3 linked regions of the Callithrix jacchus genome follow. The protein of the gene in region 2 purifies or fractionates together with the protein of the main gene of each other region. This does not show direct contact. Links are inferred from orthologs where the notes say so. Each region holds a gene or a part of one and is shown on either strand. Other genes may lie near its edges.

Region 1 (5,246 bases), on a different chromosome or scaffold from region 2:
CCAAGCTCTACGAGGCAGCCTATAATTTGGTTTCTAGGACCTAATGCACTAGGGAGAGTTGTTGCCCCTGAGGACTGTGAGTGAAAAGAGGGCACTGGCCCATACCATACCAGTCAGTTGGCTCTTCTTGGTAAGCTGGTTTGGTTCTTGGCTAGAGGCTGGGGGAGGGGAAGAGAATAAAGCTGTGGAGTTTTTTTTTTATCTCACCACTCTTAGACTAACAGGAAGGTTCTGCCTTTTTGGTGTAGGATGCACTGTTTCTTGAGGGGAGAAATGACTTCAGGCTTTGGAATTATTCGTAGTGACCAGGGACATGGCCAGCACTCTGGGGTCCTGCATAATCTATTCTAAGGCAATGGTTCTGTGGCAGTGAAGTCTCCCTTTACAAATCTGAGGGGGGAAAAGAGATCCTGGTGTCTAGGAACACAGGCCTGGGCCTTTCCCAATGCAGGGGAGCTGGACTCCCCTCTAGCTTTCGTAGCCTGTCAAGTCAGAACATTCCAAGTCAGCCTGAGGAAGAAAAGGCTGCTCCTGGGATTTGGTGGGGACTGTAGATCAGGACAACACTGGAGCTTTCTGTGTATGCCTTGGTCTGTTCAGATAAACCTGGCCTTATACCCAACTCAATCGGGGTCTCTTAGAATGTAATGGTAAACTTTAAACTATCTTTACACTACAGGATAGAAAACAAATCTGAGAAGCATGCATTTTCTAAGTGACTTGTTGGACTGTGCCTGTTCTTTAAGGAGAAAATGGTTTCCATTTTGTGCATCTCTCTTCTGATAATTGTTTGAACACTCAGGTTCCTGCAGTCCCTGGAGCCTCTTCTGTGGCTTTTCAGTCTTACAAGGTACTGTCTTTGGAGACTAGGGCTACTGGTCATTGTGGGCTAAGTTATCTTAAGAGAGTGAGAACAGGGTTTGGGTTCTCCTGCTGGATGACTGTTCTGTGCCCCTAAAACAGCTTCAGTGGCCTCCATTTTAAGTCAGAGGTGAGATGATCAGTTTTGACTTCAAATCCATTTTGATATTCTGGTATCATTGTTGAATGTGCTCACAATTTTTTTTAAGGCAAGTAGACCGAAGGCAGCTTTGGTAACTCCACTTCTTTTAAAGTCACCCTCCTCTACCCTCTGACTTTAAGTGACAGGGAGTTCCCTCCCCTCTCTTTCAATTCTGTGAAATGGGGATAATCCGAACCTCAAGCCCCCAGAGCCTTGTGAGGACCGGCGAATGAGGGCAGGCGAGTGGGAAACGAATCATCCAAACAATGATCAGTCATTCCTTTGGGCTTGCAAAAGGGGTAAGAATCAGGGCTCACTCAGCTGGGTCTTTAGCGGGGTCAGTAGAAGGCTTTGAAAAGTGCTGTAGAGGTGCTAAGCAGCAGCCAACGGAACGGGCCGGTTGCCAGGGGGTCAGGGCTGGGCCGAGGCGGTCGCGGTCTCGGGCTCTGGCCAATTTTGCAGCCGCGGGTAAAGTTCACGCTGCCCGCTCCCTTCGGTACGGCCGGCAGGGGACAGATCAGGATAGGGACGCCGGGAGGGAGGCGACGCAGGCTCCAGAGGCGCGGGCTCCGGGCCGGGTTTTCTCCGAAGCCTTCGGCGGCGGCGCTGCCTAGCGAAAGCGGCTGAGGGCCTGCCGCCGCCGCTGCTCGTTCTCTCCCCTCCTCCTTTGTGAGGGGAAGGGAGCGAGTCCGTTCCACGGCCTGCGCCGGCTCCGCTCTCCACTCCGGGTTTGCCAGGCGGCCGCGACGGCGCTGGGTAAAATGGCAGTGCTGAGCCTCGTGTCGGAGTGAGGGGGACTCGGAGGAGAGTGGGGCGCTCTAGCCGCTGAGTCCGGCCGACCGCTTGCTCGCTAGCCCGCTGCCGCGCAGCAGCCTCGGCTCGAGCTGCGGCTGGCGAGGGGAGGCTGGGCGCCCGGCCCGGCGCGCGTTCCGACTCTGGCACTCGGCACCCCGGCTGCTGCCGCGCGCCCTCCAGCCCGCCCGTCCCGGGTCCCCCTCCCCCCGCTCCCTCCCTCCGTCCCTCCCCGCCCCCTCCCCCCTCGCCTCCCTCCCTCCCTCCCTCCTCCTTTCTCCGGCAGCAGAAAGCGGAGAGTCACAGCGGGGCCAGGCCCTGGGGAGCGGAGCCTCCACCGCCCCCCTCATTCCCAGGCAAGGGCTTGGGGGGAATGAGCCAGGAGAGCCGGGTCCCGAGCCTACAGAGCCGGGAGCAGCTGAGCCGCCGGCGCCTCGGCCGCCGCCGCCTCCTCCTCCTCCGCCGCCGCCAGCCCGGAGCCTGAGCCGGCGGGGCGGGGGGGAGAGGAGCGAGCGCAGCGCAGCAGCGGAGCCCCGCGAGGCCCGCCCGGGCGGGTGGGGAGGGCAGCCCGGGGGACTCGGCCCCGGGGCGGGGTGGGAGGGGGGGGGAGAAGACGAAGACAGGGCCGGGTCTCTCCGCGGACGAGACAGCGGGGATCATGGCCGCGCAGGTCGCCCCCGCCGCCGCCAGCAGCCTGGGCAACCCGCCGCCGCCGCCGCCGCCGCCGCCCTCGGAGCTGAAGAAAGCCGACCAGCAGCAGCGGGAGGAGGCGGGGGGCGAGGCGGCGGCGGCGGCAGCGGCCGAGCGCGGGGAAATGAAGGCAGCCGCCGGGCAGGAAAGCGAGGGTCCCGCCGTGGGGCCTCCGCAGCCGCTGGGAAAGGAGCTGCAGGACGGGGCCGAGAGCAATGGGGGTGGCGGCAGCGGCGGAGCCGGCAGCGGCGGCGGGCCCGGCGCGGAGCCGGACCTGAAGAACTCAAACGGGAACGCGGGCCCTAGGCCCGCCCTGAACAATAACCTCACGGAGCCGCCCGGCGGCGGCGGTGGCGGCAGCAGCGATGGGGTGGGGGCGCCTCCTCACTCAGCCGCGGCCGCCTTGCCGCCCCCAGCCTACGGCTTCGGGCAACCCTACGGCCGGAGCCCGTCTGCCGTCGCCGCCGCCGCGGCCGCCGTCTTCCACCAACAACATGGCGGACAACAAAGCCCTGGCCTGGCAGCGCTGCAGAGCGGCGGCGGCGGGGGCCTGGAGCCCTACGCGGGGCCCCAGCAGAACTCGCACGACCACGGCTTCCCCAACCACCAGTACAACTCCTACTACCCCAACCGCAGCGCCTACCCCCCGCCCGCCCCGGCCTACGCGCTGAGCTCCCCGAGAGGTGGCACTCCGGGCTCCGGCGCGGCGGCGGCGGCTGCCGGCTCCAAGCCGCCTCCCTCCTCCAGCGCCTCCGCCTCCTCGTCGTCTTCGTCCTTCGCTCAGCAGCGCTTCGGGGCCATGGGGGGAGGCGGCCCCTCCGCGGCCGGCGGGGGAACCCCTCAGCCCACCGCCACCCCCACCCTCAACCAACTGCTCACGTCGCCCAGCTCTGCCCGGGGCTACCAGGGCTACCCCGGGGCCGACTACGGCGGCGGGCCCCAGGACGGGGGCGCTGGCAAGGGCCCGGCGGACATGGCCTCGCAGTGTTGGGGGGCTGCGGCGGCGGCAGCGGCGGCGGCGGCAGCCGCTTCGGGAGGGGCCCAACAAAGGAGCCACCACGCGCCCATGAGCCCCGGGAGCAGTGGCGGCGGGGGGCAGCCGCTCGCCCGGACCCCTCAGGTACACAGCTGAGTGGGGAGGGGGCTGGGGCGAACGTGGTCCTGGGGGTGGGTGGTGGCTGCGGTGAGCGGGCCACAGCCTTGGGCTCCCCTCAGTCCCGGGCCCCCACTGCTGGGGAGCTGCCATTGTCTGGCTCTTCTTTCTTAAAATGGCTGCCTGTCTGCCTTCCTCTCCTTCCCTCCTTTAGGCTTTGTGTCGGGCTTTCCTAGAAATGTCTGCTCCTCTTTTTCCTTTCCCCTGGTTCCTTTGAACTCCAGGGGTCGTCATGGGGATGCGGGGCAGAGTGTGCGGGGAAGGGCCTGGCCGGGGGTGAGGGGGTGCTGGGGGCTCAGGTAAGAAGTGTAGGCAGTGGTAGGAGCCCAGGAGTTGAGTGAACGTTTTTCTTTGCTCACCTGCCGCTCCTCTCCGTCTCCCGGCCTTCCTCTGGGCCGCCCCCCGCCTCCGTGCTTTCAAGGAGGGCCCCTAGACCTCGGGGGGACCTCGAGGGAGGGCAGGGGACTGCTTGGGAGCTGCTAGAGGCCGGCTGCGGTTCACCTAGGGCAGCCCGGGCCATCTCCTGTCTTAGGCTCCGCCGGCCCAGTGGCCTGGGCTTCTCCCTGGAAGTGCTGGTAAACAGCTGAGTGATTGGAGTAGTAAGTGCAGATTGCTTTGGTTTGGGATTTGAATTATGGAGGTAAAATCCTTCTGTCAAAGCCAGGAGACAGTTGGTCTTAGGTTGACATCCTATCTGTGATCTGATTGGCTCCCCATCTCCTGCTCTTGGCCATTTATAATTGCCTCTGATGTAATGGTACAACAATCCTGATGAGCTCATAAACTTTTACACTCTGCTTTTCTGCCAGTGATAACCCAAACCATTGCTGTCACTATCTGCCTTTTATTCCAGAGTTGAAATTGGCTGTGACCTTGAGGAGGGAGGTTTAAGTAGCAATACTGTATCAGCAGGAGCAGAGTCTCAGACAGCCTGTCCTTGTTACATTGTGCCCGAAACAAAAGAGGAGGCAATGGCATTTTGCATATACCTTGGATTTATTTTGCTTGTTATGTTTTATGCAGCCTGAAATGGATTCTGTGTTGTCAGAACAGTAGCTGAGTTTTTTCTCTACAATGGGTTTGCTGTTTGTTTTGGTTTTGTGACTTTCCTGATGGTATAAATGACTTCTTTGATGGCTCTGAAGATGCATTTGTCTTGAGTAATTTTGACACTGTTTGCTTTGCAGAATTGAAATGATTTTACTGGGTTTTTTATTGAGTGGGAAATGTGGAATCTTTATGGGGGGGGAGAAAATGTGTGTGTGTGTGTGTGTGTGTGTGTGTGTGTGTTTAGAACTGGGAGCTTTCTGAGGAATTTCATATTAGGTTCAAGCCTTCCGTTTTAAGGAAGGCTAGCCTCATTCTTTGTTTACATGTTGAATCTTGTTAACACTTTCTTTTGTTAATTGAACTTTGGGATGGTGGTTTAATTTAAAGGGAAGCTGGTGTCTTTCATGATCTTGAGGGACTTTCTCCTAAAGGCTTGGTTTGGTGAAATTGTGTTTTCCTGGAATAACAAAAAGGCTAGTTTACTGTTTTGTCATCAGTCATTTTAGAGCTTTGAAATAGAGATTGGCAGTTTATTCCTTTGCATTTTAATTTATGTTC
Region 2 (4,728 bases):
ACCCTCTAAGAGAGCACAGAGAAAAACATTCTGGAATAATACTAGCTTAGTTGCTGAATTAAAACAAACAAAAATAAATAATAAACAGAAAAATCTTTAATGTAAAGTATGCAGCTTATTTTTATAAAAGCTAAGAAAATGTTTTATAGTGAAATGAATATTAAAACTTCATTAACAAAACTCTTAAATAATCCTCTAGTATCTAGTAAAAAAAAAACTTCATTAATAAAACTCATCATGGATAATGTATTTACTCAAAGATAACATATAATTAAAATGCTTTTAAGAAGAAATTCATATGATTAAAAAAGTACAAGCTGCCAGAACACAGTATAACTTTCTTTTTTGGAAACTGTACTCTACTTTTGTGTTCTTTTGACTCTGAAATACCAAAATTTTGATGAAGATTTTTATTTGTCCTAAAGAGATTTTTTAAAACAATGAAAATTTCCTCAATGATTTACACCATATTTTCTTTTTGAAAATTGTCTTTTATTTCTTCAGATTTAATACCTGGTCATTTTTGTATAGTCTATTTTCTATTATGAAATTCATAAACTGACCAGGTGCAATGGCTCACGCCTCTAATCCCAGGACACTGGGAGGACAAGGCAGGTGATCACTTAAGCAGGCATTCAAGACCAGCCTGGGCAACAGATGGAGACATTGTTTCTATTCTTTCAACAAAATACAAAAAATAAAAATAAAAAACAAGAAATTTATAAACGACGAGAACAAGGCAAAAAAGTGATATAACTAATGTACTACAGTAAAAGGAAGAGCTACACATTCTTACAAAATATGACATTTTTATAAGTTAAAGTTGGTCCCTAAGAACAAAAAATTTCTATAAACGCCTCAGTACTTTTCTCCAAAAAGTCAATATACAACACTGCTGCATGCATTAGCTTTTTTTCTTCTTCAAATCTTAATATGTCATGTCAAACCCTGCTCCAGCAACACTCATTTTTTTTTTTTTTGTGCACACCATACCTTTTCTTAACCACAAGTTTCTAAGAAGTGTGCCATCATTACTGGAGTTGCTGCCAGAATCATGAATTTTCCTGTTCTCTCTCCTGGTAACCAAACTGTATAGAGAAACACCTTAACTCCCTTTTGATCTAGCACTGACTGGATCTTGCTGTTGTATGGACTCTTAATTGACCTAATAAAAACAAAAAAATAATTCCACCATAGGCATTAAGTAACTTTGGGGGTAAAAAATGTTACAAGTGCCATTTGTGAAGCTACAATGTTGACAACTTTTTCTATTATCTCCTTTTGTTTTCAGTATATCTCACTGAAATTATTTTTAAAATCTGTATATTTTTAAATTCTATGACTTCATCATAAGGAATTATCAACAAATTAACATTAAATTCTTTTATCTGGGTACATTTTAGTGCTTTTTAATAATCAAAATCTAGAAAATTTTATTCCAAATACATTTAACTCTATCTTACAGTCTTAACCGTAAGACAGAATTACCATATTTTGTAACTAAAATAACGTTAAGCTGGAAATATGCCAAATGTTTTAACAGACAATTTACAGAACAGAGTGCCACTTACTGGCTTTTAGTTATTATTCACAGAATACTTAGAAACATAGCACAATTTCATTCTGAGATTGGTAATAAACTTTAATGGACTTATGCCATTCTAAGAGTAGTACAGCAGCACCCCACTGAACATTCTAATAGCAAATTATTTTAGAATTACCTTTTAATGCTAAAACATAGCATCAGAAAACATCCATATAAATCAAGGGAAGTTCATATAAATTAATACATCATTTAAACTGTAAGGCAGGTATTTATTTTCTCAACTTTCTAGCTCTAAACCAAATGTTTGGTTCTTCACTGATCAGCTTTAAAAAACAATTCTCAACAACACAGAACCTCAAATAAACTGTTCAAAAGACATAAAAATAAATAAGCTTAAAAAGCTAAATTGAGCAATTTAATTCATACATATAAAAAAAGATTTAAACTAGTTTCAAACTCAACATTCCATTTTTCTGGGCATGGCTGTCCCTCATTTTAAACTTATACTTTTATGAATCAGCTAAGAACCTGATAATCATTTTACTTTCAAAGGCCAATATAGTACTCTAGTCAAGAAGGACATAAAGCTTAGTTACCTTGGTTTGGCTGCATATTCATATTTGGTCTGGGACCATAGTTCCCCATTGGTTGCCCTTGACTCATTGTCATCTGATTCTGTACTGGCATGCTCTGTGATGATGACACGGAATGGTTGTAACCTCCCATGGATCCATGGCTACTTGAAGGCATATTCATGGAACTGTTTGTCATATTGAGTTGATTGGGTCCAGGTCCCTGCATAGGCATATGGTTAGGCCCTTTGAAGAAAAATGATCAGAAGCAAAATATGAAAATTAAATAGATGGTCCATACAAAGTACCTGGAAAGGGTATTTTTTTTTTTTTTGCATTATTATAGTAATACCAAACAAGAGTTAATCAGTAGCAAAGTAAATGGTTTATAGGAATGACAGTAAATACTGAGAGTATTCCCATTTTACAGATTAATAAACGAATGTTTTTGAAACGTCATGAACACTCTGAAAATGAAGGGAGGACTAGCTTCTTTAAAATACAGCAAAACATATCATAAGGTTGGAGTAATTAACTGTGAACACAGGCGGGGCGCAGTGGCTCACGCCTGGAATCCCAGCACTTTGGAGGCTAAGGCAAGTGGATCACAAGGCCATGAGTTCAAGACCAGCCTGGCCAAGATGGTGAAACCCCATCTCTACTAAAAATACAAAAGTTAGCCAGGTGTGGTGGCGGGTGCCTATAATCCCAGCTATTTGGGAGGCTGAGGCAGGAGAATCACTTGAACCTGGGAGGCGGAGGTTGCAGTGAGCCAAGATCGCGCCACTGCACTTCAGCCTGGGCAACAAGCAAGACTCTGTCTGAAAAAAAAAAAACCTGTGAACATAATGAATAGATTAACAGACTGAATGACTAGAACAGAGTCTAAAAACAGACCCAAATACATGGCTGAGTAACTAATAAGTATCAGTGAGCAATAGAAAACTAATTCAGTAAATGGTGTTGTGACAACTTGGGAGCCATTTGGAAAAAAAAAACAAGTTGGATCACTGCCTTACTTCTTCCACTAACTAATTCTAGATGAACAGAAAACTTAATCCATAAAAGAATTTCAAAAAGGAGAATTTTTAAAATAATAATGGAGGGACCTTCTTAAGCAGGCCAGAAAACCCAGAGCTATAAAACACTGAAAAATTACACTATATAAAGTTTAAAAATTTGCACATGACACGAAACTCAAAAATAATAAAAAGGTAAGTAAGAAAATATTATTTATAAGACATATCACAGACCAAATTAATTACTTAACATATGAAGTAAGTAAAACACCACCACCAGTAAAACAATGGGCAAAGGACATAATGAGGGAATGACTAGTTCACAGAAAAACTACAAAAAGGTTCATCAATACTAAAAGATTGATTGCTTCACTTAAAATAAGAAGGCAAATTAAAACTATGAGACCCAGCGTTCACCTTTCAGATTCTCAAAAATCAAGTTTAATCTAACTGTATTATGAAGAAAGAAGCACTTTTGTCCATTGTTAAAGGAATATAAATCTTACTTATATTCCGTGGGGAATCAAGCTTATGAAATCAAGGGTGGGATCAAGCTTAAGAGAGACAAACAACAATTCAAAGGAAGTAGTTGTCCCTCAATATCTGTAGGAGGCTGGTTCCAGAACCATCTACAGATTCCAAGATCCATAAATGCTCATGTCCCTGACATAAAATGGTAACAGTATTTCCATATAACTTATGTACATCCTCTCATTTACTTTAAATCCCTACATTGTATGTACTACCTAACATAATATAAATGCTATGTAAATAGTTGTTACACTGTACTAAGGAATTATGACCAAAAAAAGTATGTACATGTTCAGTACAGTTTTGTTTTTCCAAATATTTTCAATCCATGGATGCGAAATTCATAAATGCAGAAGTGATGGATATTACTATTTTTATACAAAGCAATTTGTCACTAACTATCAAATCTAAAAAATACATATACCTTTAACCCAGCAATTACAGTTCCAGAAATTTATGCTATAGATATACAAGTTTTTGTGTGCGTGTATACTGACACACACAAAATATATATATATGCACATATATATATTTTTACAGGCAAATTCATGGCAGTATAATTCACAATAACAAAAGACTAGAAGCCTATATTTCCACCATAAATGTTCAAATAAAGTTGTAAAACAGAACGTGACACAGAGACCAAAAAGAATAAGGTATCTATTTACATACAGAATAAAATAATGGTATCCAAGACAGATCTTTAAGAGAGAAAGAAGACACATAATACTATTTAATGAGTGCTATCCTTTGTATTTTTTTTAAAGAATAAGGGGGGAAAAAAGGTAATAGAAATGTAGTATCAAGGGGCTGATGAGCAAAAAAAAAAAAAAAAGAAAAAGGTAATATACATGGATTATTTTACAAAGAGAAAATATATCTTTTTTGAGACAGAGTTTCGCTCTTGCTGCCCAGGCTGGAGTGCAAAGGCATGATCCCGGTTTACTGTGACCTACACCTCCCGGGTTCAAGCAATTCTCCTGCCTCAGCCTCCCAAGTAGCTAGAATCCCAGTGTGCATCACCACACCCAGCTAATTTTGTATTTTTAGTAGAGATGGG
Region 3 (3,994 bases), on a different chromosome or scaffold from region 2:
CTGTGCCACAGGATTGCTCCATGACCCACCAGTGAAAGGCCCCAAAATCACCCCAAAGGTGGCAGGTGCCAGGCTGGGGAATGGTGGAGGACAGCCAGAGAGGCCCTTCCTCCTATATTCTAATTTTTCCAGAGTGTGGAAACTCTACTACCTGACCTCTTTCCCACCTGCCCACTCGCCCTCCCTCCATGTGGATCCCGCTCCCTCACCCTTCTCCCCTCCTGGCCCCTTCTCACCTGGCAGTGGGCTGGCACTGGGCAGGAGGTTGCCCTGAACAGCTGCCACAATGGCAGGGCTTTGGGCTGCGGCGGATCCGAGCCCCGGCCCGAGAGGCAAGGAAGATGGCATGGTGGTGGTCGCCGGCAGGTTAGGATGTAGAGGGTTCGCCATGGACACAGGCAGGTTAGGTGGGGGGAGAGTGCCCGGGGCGAACGGGAGATGGTGGTGATGCCCATGCAGGTTAGGAGGAGGGGGAAGGTTAATACTGATGGAGTCAGCTAGACTACCAAATGGGATGATGGATGGAGCAGGAGGAGGAGGAGGAGGCGGCATGCCAAAAGGCAAACCCAAAGGAGCATTACCCGCCACGCCTGGGTGCCCGCTGCCTGGCACTGCCCCTGGCATCATTGAGGGAGGAGTTTGTTGGTTGGGGAACGGTGAGGGGCCTGAGAACAAAGATGAGAGATGGAGAGAGTTAGGTATAAAATTTTGCTTAACAACTCACTTTTACAGCAAGGATAATCTAGCCATTCCTTGGCATTATCTTCCCTTTTACTGACATTAGAGTAAGTGAATAAAATTCCAGAGCTCTCGAGTTTGGGGGGGGATCCCTGCTGGTTTAGAGGCCTAACAAACGCATCTTGTATTCACTTTGAGGGGAACTGGGACATTCACCTGGATCCCTCTAACCAGCAAAAGTTCTGGAACACAACACTTACCATGGGGTCCAGGGGGGGGAACCCCTGGTGGGACTGCCCCAGGCTGGGGGGCTCCAGCTGGTTGCTGCTGCTGTGGCCCTGCAATTGACCCTGCCTGCCCAATCTGTTCAGAAGGGCCCAAGCTTCCTGGAGGGGCCCCACTGCCAGCAGGAGCAGGGACTACAGAGGCTGGAGCCACAGCCAAGCCATGGACTGCGGGTGGCCCAGCAGCCCCCGTTGGGGGGATAGGCTGGGAGCCTGGGGGTAGGGCTGGCGGTGGCTGCTGCTGCTGTTGATGCATCTGTTGGAAGTGCTGCTGCCGGGCCCTCATCTCCGCATACTTCAGCTGCTCCATGTGGAAGGCTTGTCTGTCGGCCAGGAGCTGCTGCCTCTGATACTCCAGCTGCCAGTGCCAATTGAGTATTGTTATCCAATTTTCAACAGAGCCCAAAGGCAAATGCCTTGAACCCTGCTTTGTTGTCTTCTGAAAGATCCCACCTCTCAATCAGAAGGTTCCCCAAATCTACATCTTACACTTGTACTTCCTCTGCCCTCCCCACTGTACTTCGTGCAAATTCCCATGACCTTTATGTCTCCTGGGTGCTCACATGGTTTCTTATTGACTTTATCTGGCCTAGCTGACTTCAGCTCCAAAGCTTTGAACTTGCCATTGCCTTGATTTGGAAAATGCTTCCAGTTCTTCTTATCAATTCAAGTTCTTTTCTTCAAAATTCACTAAAAACTCACTATTTTGAGACGGAGTTTTGCTTTTGTTACCCAGGCTGGAGTGCAATGGCGCGATCTCGGCTCACCGCAACCTCTGCCTCCTGGGTTCAGGCAATTCTCCTGCCTCAGCCTCCTGAGTAGCTGGGATTACAGGCACATGCCATCATGCCCAGCTAATTTTTTTTGTATTTTTAGTAGAGACGGGGTTTCACCATGTTGACCAGGATGGTCTCGATCTCTTGACCTTGTGATCCACCCGCCTTGGCCTCCCAAAGTGCTGGGATTACAGGGGTGAGCCACTGCGCCCGGCCTTTTTTCATTTGTTTTTAAGACGGGGTTTCACCATGTTGGTCAGGCTGGTCTTGAACTCCTGACCTCAGGTGATCCACCCGCCTTGGCCTCCAGAGTGCTTGGATTACAGGCATGAGCCACCACACCCGGCCAAAACTCACTTTTCTTAGGAAGCTATCCCAGAACAATTCGCTCGCCTCTGAGCTTTAGCTTGATTCTATTATCTCAGGACTTAGATACTTGATCTGCAATCTCTTAATATGAATTTGGCAGATACTTTAAACCTTCTTAACTGTTTCTAATGTCTCCATATTGTTTATTCATTTGATGTCTCCAATTAAACTATAAGTTCTCTGAGGTCCCTATCTTCTGTTTTGTTTTCTTCTTCTTTTTTTTTTTTTTTTTGAGGTAGGGTCTCACTCTGTCACCCAGGCTGGAGTGCAATGGTGCAAACATGGCTCACTGCAGCCTTGACCTCCTGGGCTCAAACGATCCTCTCATCTCAGCCTCCTGAGTAGCTGGGACCACAGGCTCTCACCACCATGCCCAGCTAATTTGTTTACTTTAAAAATTTTTTTGGTTTCAGAGATGGCCTGCCCAGAGAGGAGGTATCTAGAGAGGTAGTCAGGCTACAATAGCTATGCTGTGTTGCAGTGAGCTTCCTGGTGGCTTTAATTAAAAAAAAAAGAAAAAGAAAAAAAATTTAAAAGTTTTTTGGGGGGACTGGGTGTGGTGGCTCATGCCTGTAATCCCAGCACTTTGGGAGGCTGAGGCAGGTGGATCACCTGAGGTCAAGAGATAAAGACCAGCCTGGCCAACATGGTGAAACCCTGTCTCTACTAAAAATACAAAAATTAGCCAAGCATGGTGGTGCACACCTGTAATCTCAGCTACTCAGGAGGCTGAGGCAAGAGAATTGATCCCACCCAGGAGGCAGAGGTTATAGTGAGCCAAGATGGTGCCGCTGCACTCCAGTGTGGGCAACAGAATGAGACTCTGTCTCAAAAAACAAACCAACAAACAAAAATTAGCTGGATATGGTGGTGGGCGCCTATAATCCCAGCTACTGGGAGGCTGAAGCAGGAGAATCGCTTGAACCTGGGAGGTGGAGGTTGCAGTGAGCCATAATTGCACCACTGCACTCCAGCCTGGGTGAAACAGTGCGACTCTGTCTCAAAAAAAAATTTTAAATCCTAGCTCGTTGGGAGCCAGAGGCAGTCAAATCACCTGAGTCTAGGAGTTCAAGAACAGCCTGGCAAACATGGAGAAACCCCGTCTACTAAAAATACAAAATTAGCCAGGCATGGAGGTGCATGTCCGTGATCCCAGCTACTCAGGAGGCTGAGGTAGAAAAATTGCTTGAACTTGGGAGGCAGAGGTTGTGGTGAGCCAAGACCGTGCCATTGCATTCCAGTCTGGGCAGCAAGAGTGAAATTTCATCTCAAAAAAAAAAAAAAAATTGTAGAGACAAGGGTCTCACTTTGTTGCCCAGACTGATCTTGAACTCCTGGGCTCAAGCAATCCTCCTACCTCAGCCTACCAAAGTATTGGGATTACAGATATGAGCCACTGTGCCCAGCCCCTATCATTTCTTTCTTTCTTTTTTTTTTTTTTTTTTTTTGAGGTAGAGTTTCACTCTTGTTACCCAGGCTGGAGTGCAATGGCACGATCTTGGCTCACTGCAACCTCCACCTCCTGGGTTCAGGCAATTCTCCTGCCTCAGCCTCCTGAGTAGCTGGGATTACAGGCATGCGTCACCGTGCCCAGATAATTTTTTGTATTTTTAGTAGAGATGGGGTTTCACCATGTTGACCAGGATGGTCTCGATCTGTTGACCTCGTGATCCACCCGCCTTGGCCTCCCAAAGTGCTGGGATTACAGGTGTGAACCATCGCGCCCGGCCCATTTATTTCTTTTTATGTCCTCCAAAGACAAAATAGTTCAACACTGTGTCTATCCCATTCCCTTTCCAAGTTCATCTCCTGGATCTGAGGGCCTTACCCTCTCTCTCATCATCCCTTAAGCCCATTCAATCATTCAATAACTGTTTATTGAGTCTA

The links.
Region 1: the proteins of SS18 (region 2) and ARID1A purify together in Homo sapiens (affinity purification with mass spectrometry; 7 studies listed by BioGRID and IntAct, counting the BioPlex papers as one, with this or other methods). This does not show direct contact. The link is inferred for Callithrix jacchus from reciprocal best matches to the Homo sapiens genes SS18 and ARID1A.
Region 3: the proteins of SS18 (region 2) and SMARCC2 purify together in Homo sapiens (affinity purification with mass spectrometry; 3 studies listed by BioGRID and IntAct, counting the BioPlex papers as one, with this or other methods). This does not show direct contact. The link is inferred for Callithrix jacchus from reciprocal best matches to the Homo sapiens genes SS18 and SMARCC2.

Annotation. Positions count from the first base shown.
Region 1 is NC_133508.1:63,350,879-63,356,124, forward strand, and holds the start of ARID1A (AT-rich interactive domain-containing protein 1A), read left to right. Parts: upstream 1-2,079; 5' UTR 2,080-2,453; coding exon 2,454-3,605; intron 3,606-4,445; exon of another isoform or gene 4,446-5,246. UniProt on the Homo sapiens protein: Involved in transcriptional activation and repression of select genes by chromatin remodeling (alteration of DNA-nucleosome topology).
Region 2 is NC_133514.1:69,286,917-69,291,644, forward strand, and holds part of SS18 (protein SSXT), read right to left. Parts: intron 2,365-4,728; coding exon 2,143-2,364; intron 1-2,142. UniProt on the Homo sapiens protein: Appears to function synergistically with RBM14 as a transcriptional coactivator. Isoform 1 and isoform 2 function in nuclear receptor coactivation. Isoform 1 and isoform 2 function in general transcriptional coactivation.
Region 3 is NC_133510.1:63,498,683-63,502,676, reverse strand, and holds part of SMARCC2 (SWI/SNF complex subunit SMARCC2), read right to left. Parts: intron 2,292-3,994; exon of another isoform or gene 1,321-2,291; coding exon 939-1,320; exon of another isoform or gene 666-938; coding exon 237-665; exon of another isoform or gene 1-236. UniProt on the Homo sapiens protein: Involved in transcriptional activation and repression of select genes by chromatin remodeling (alteration of DNA-nucleosome topology).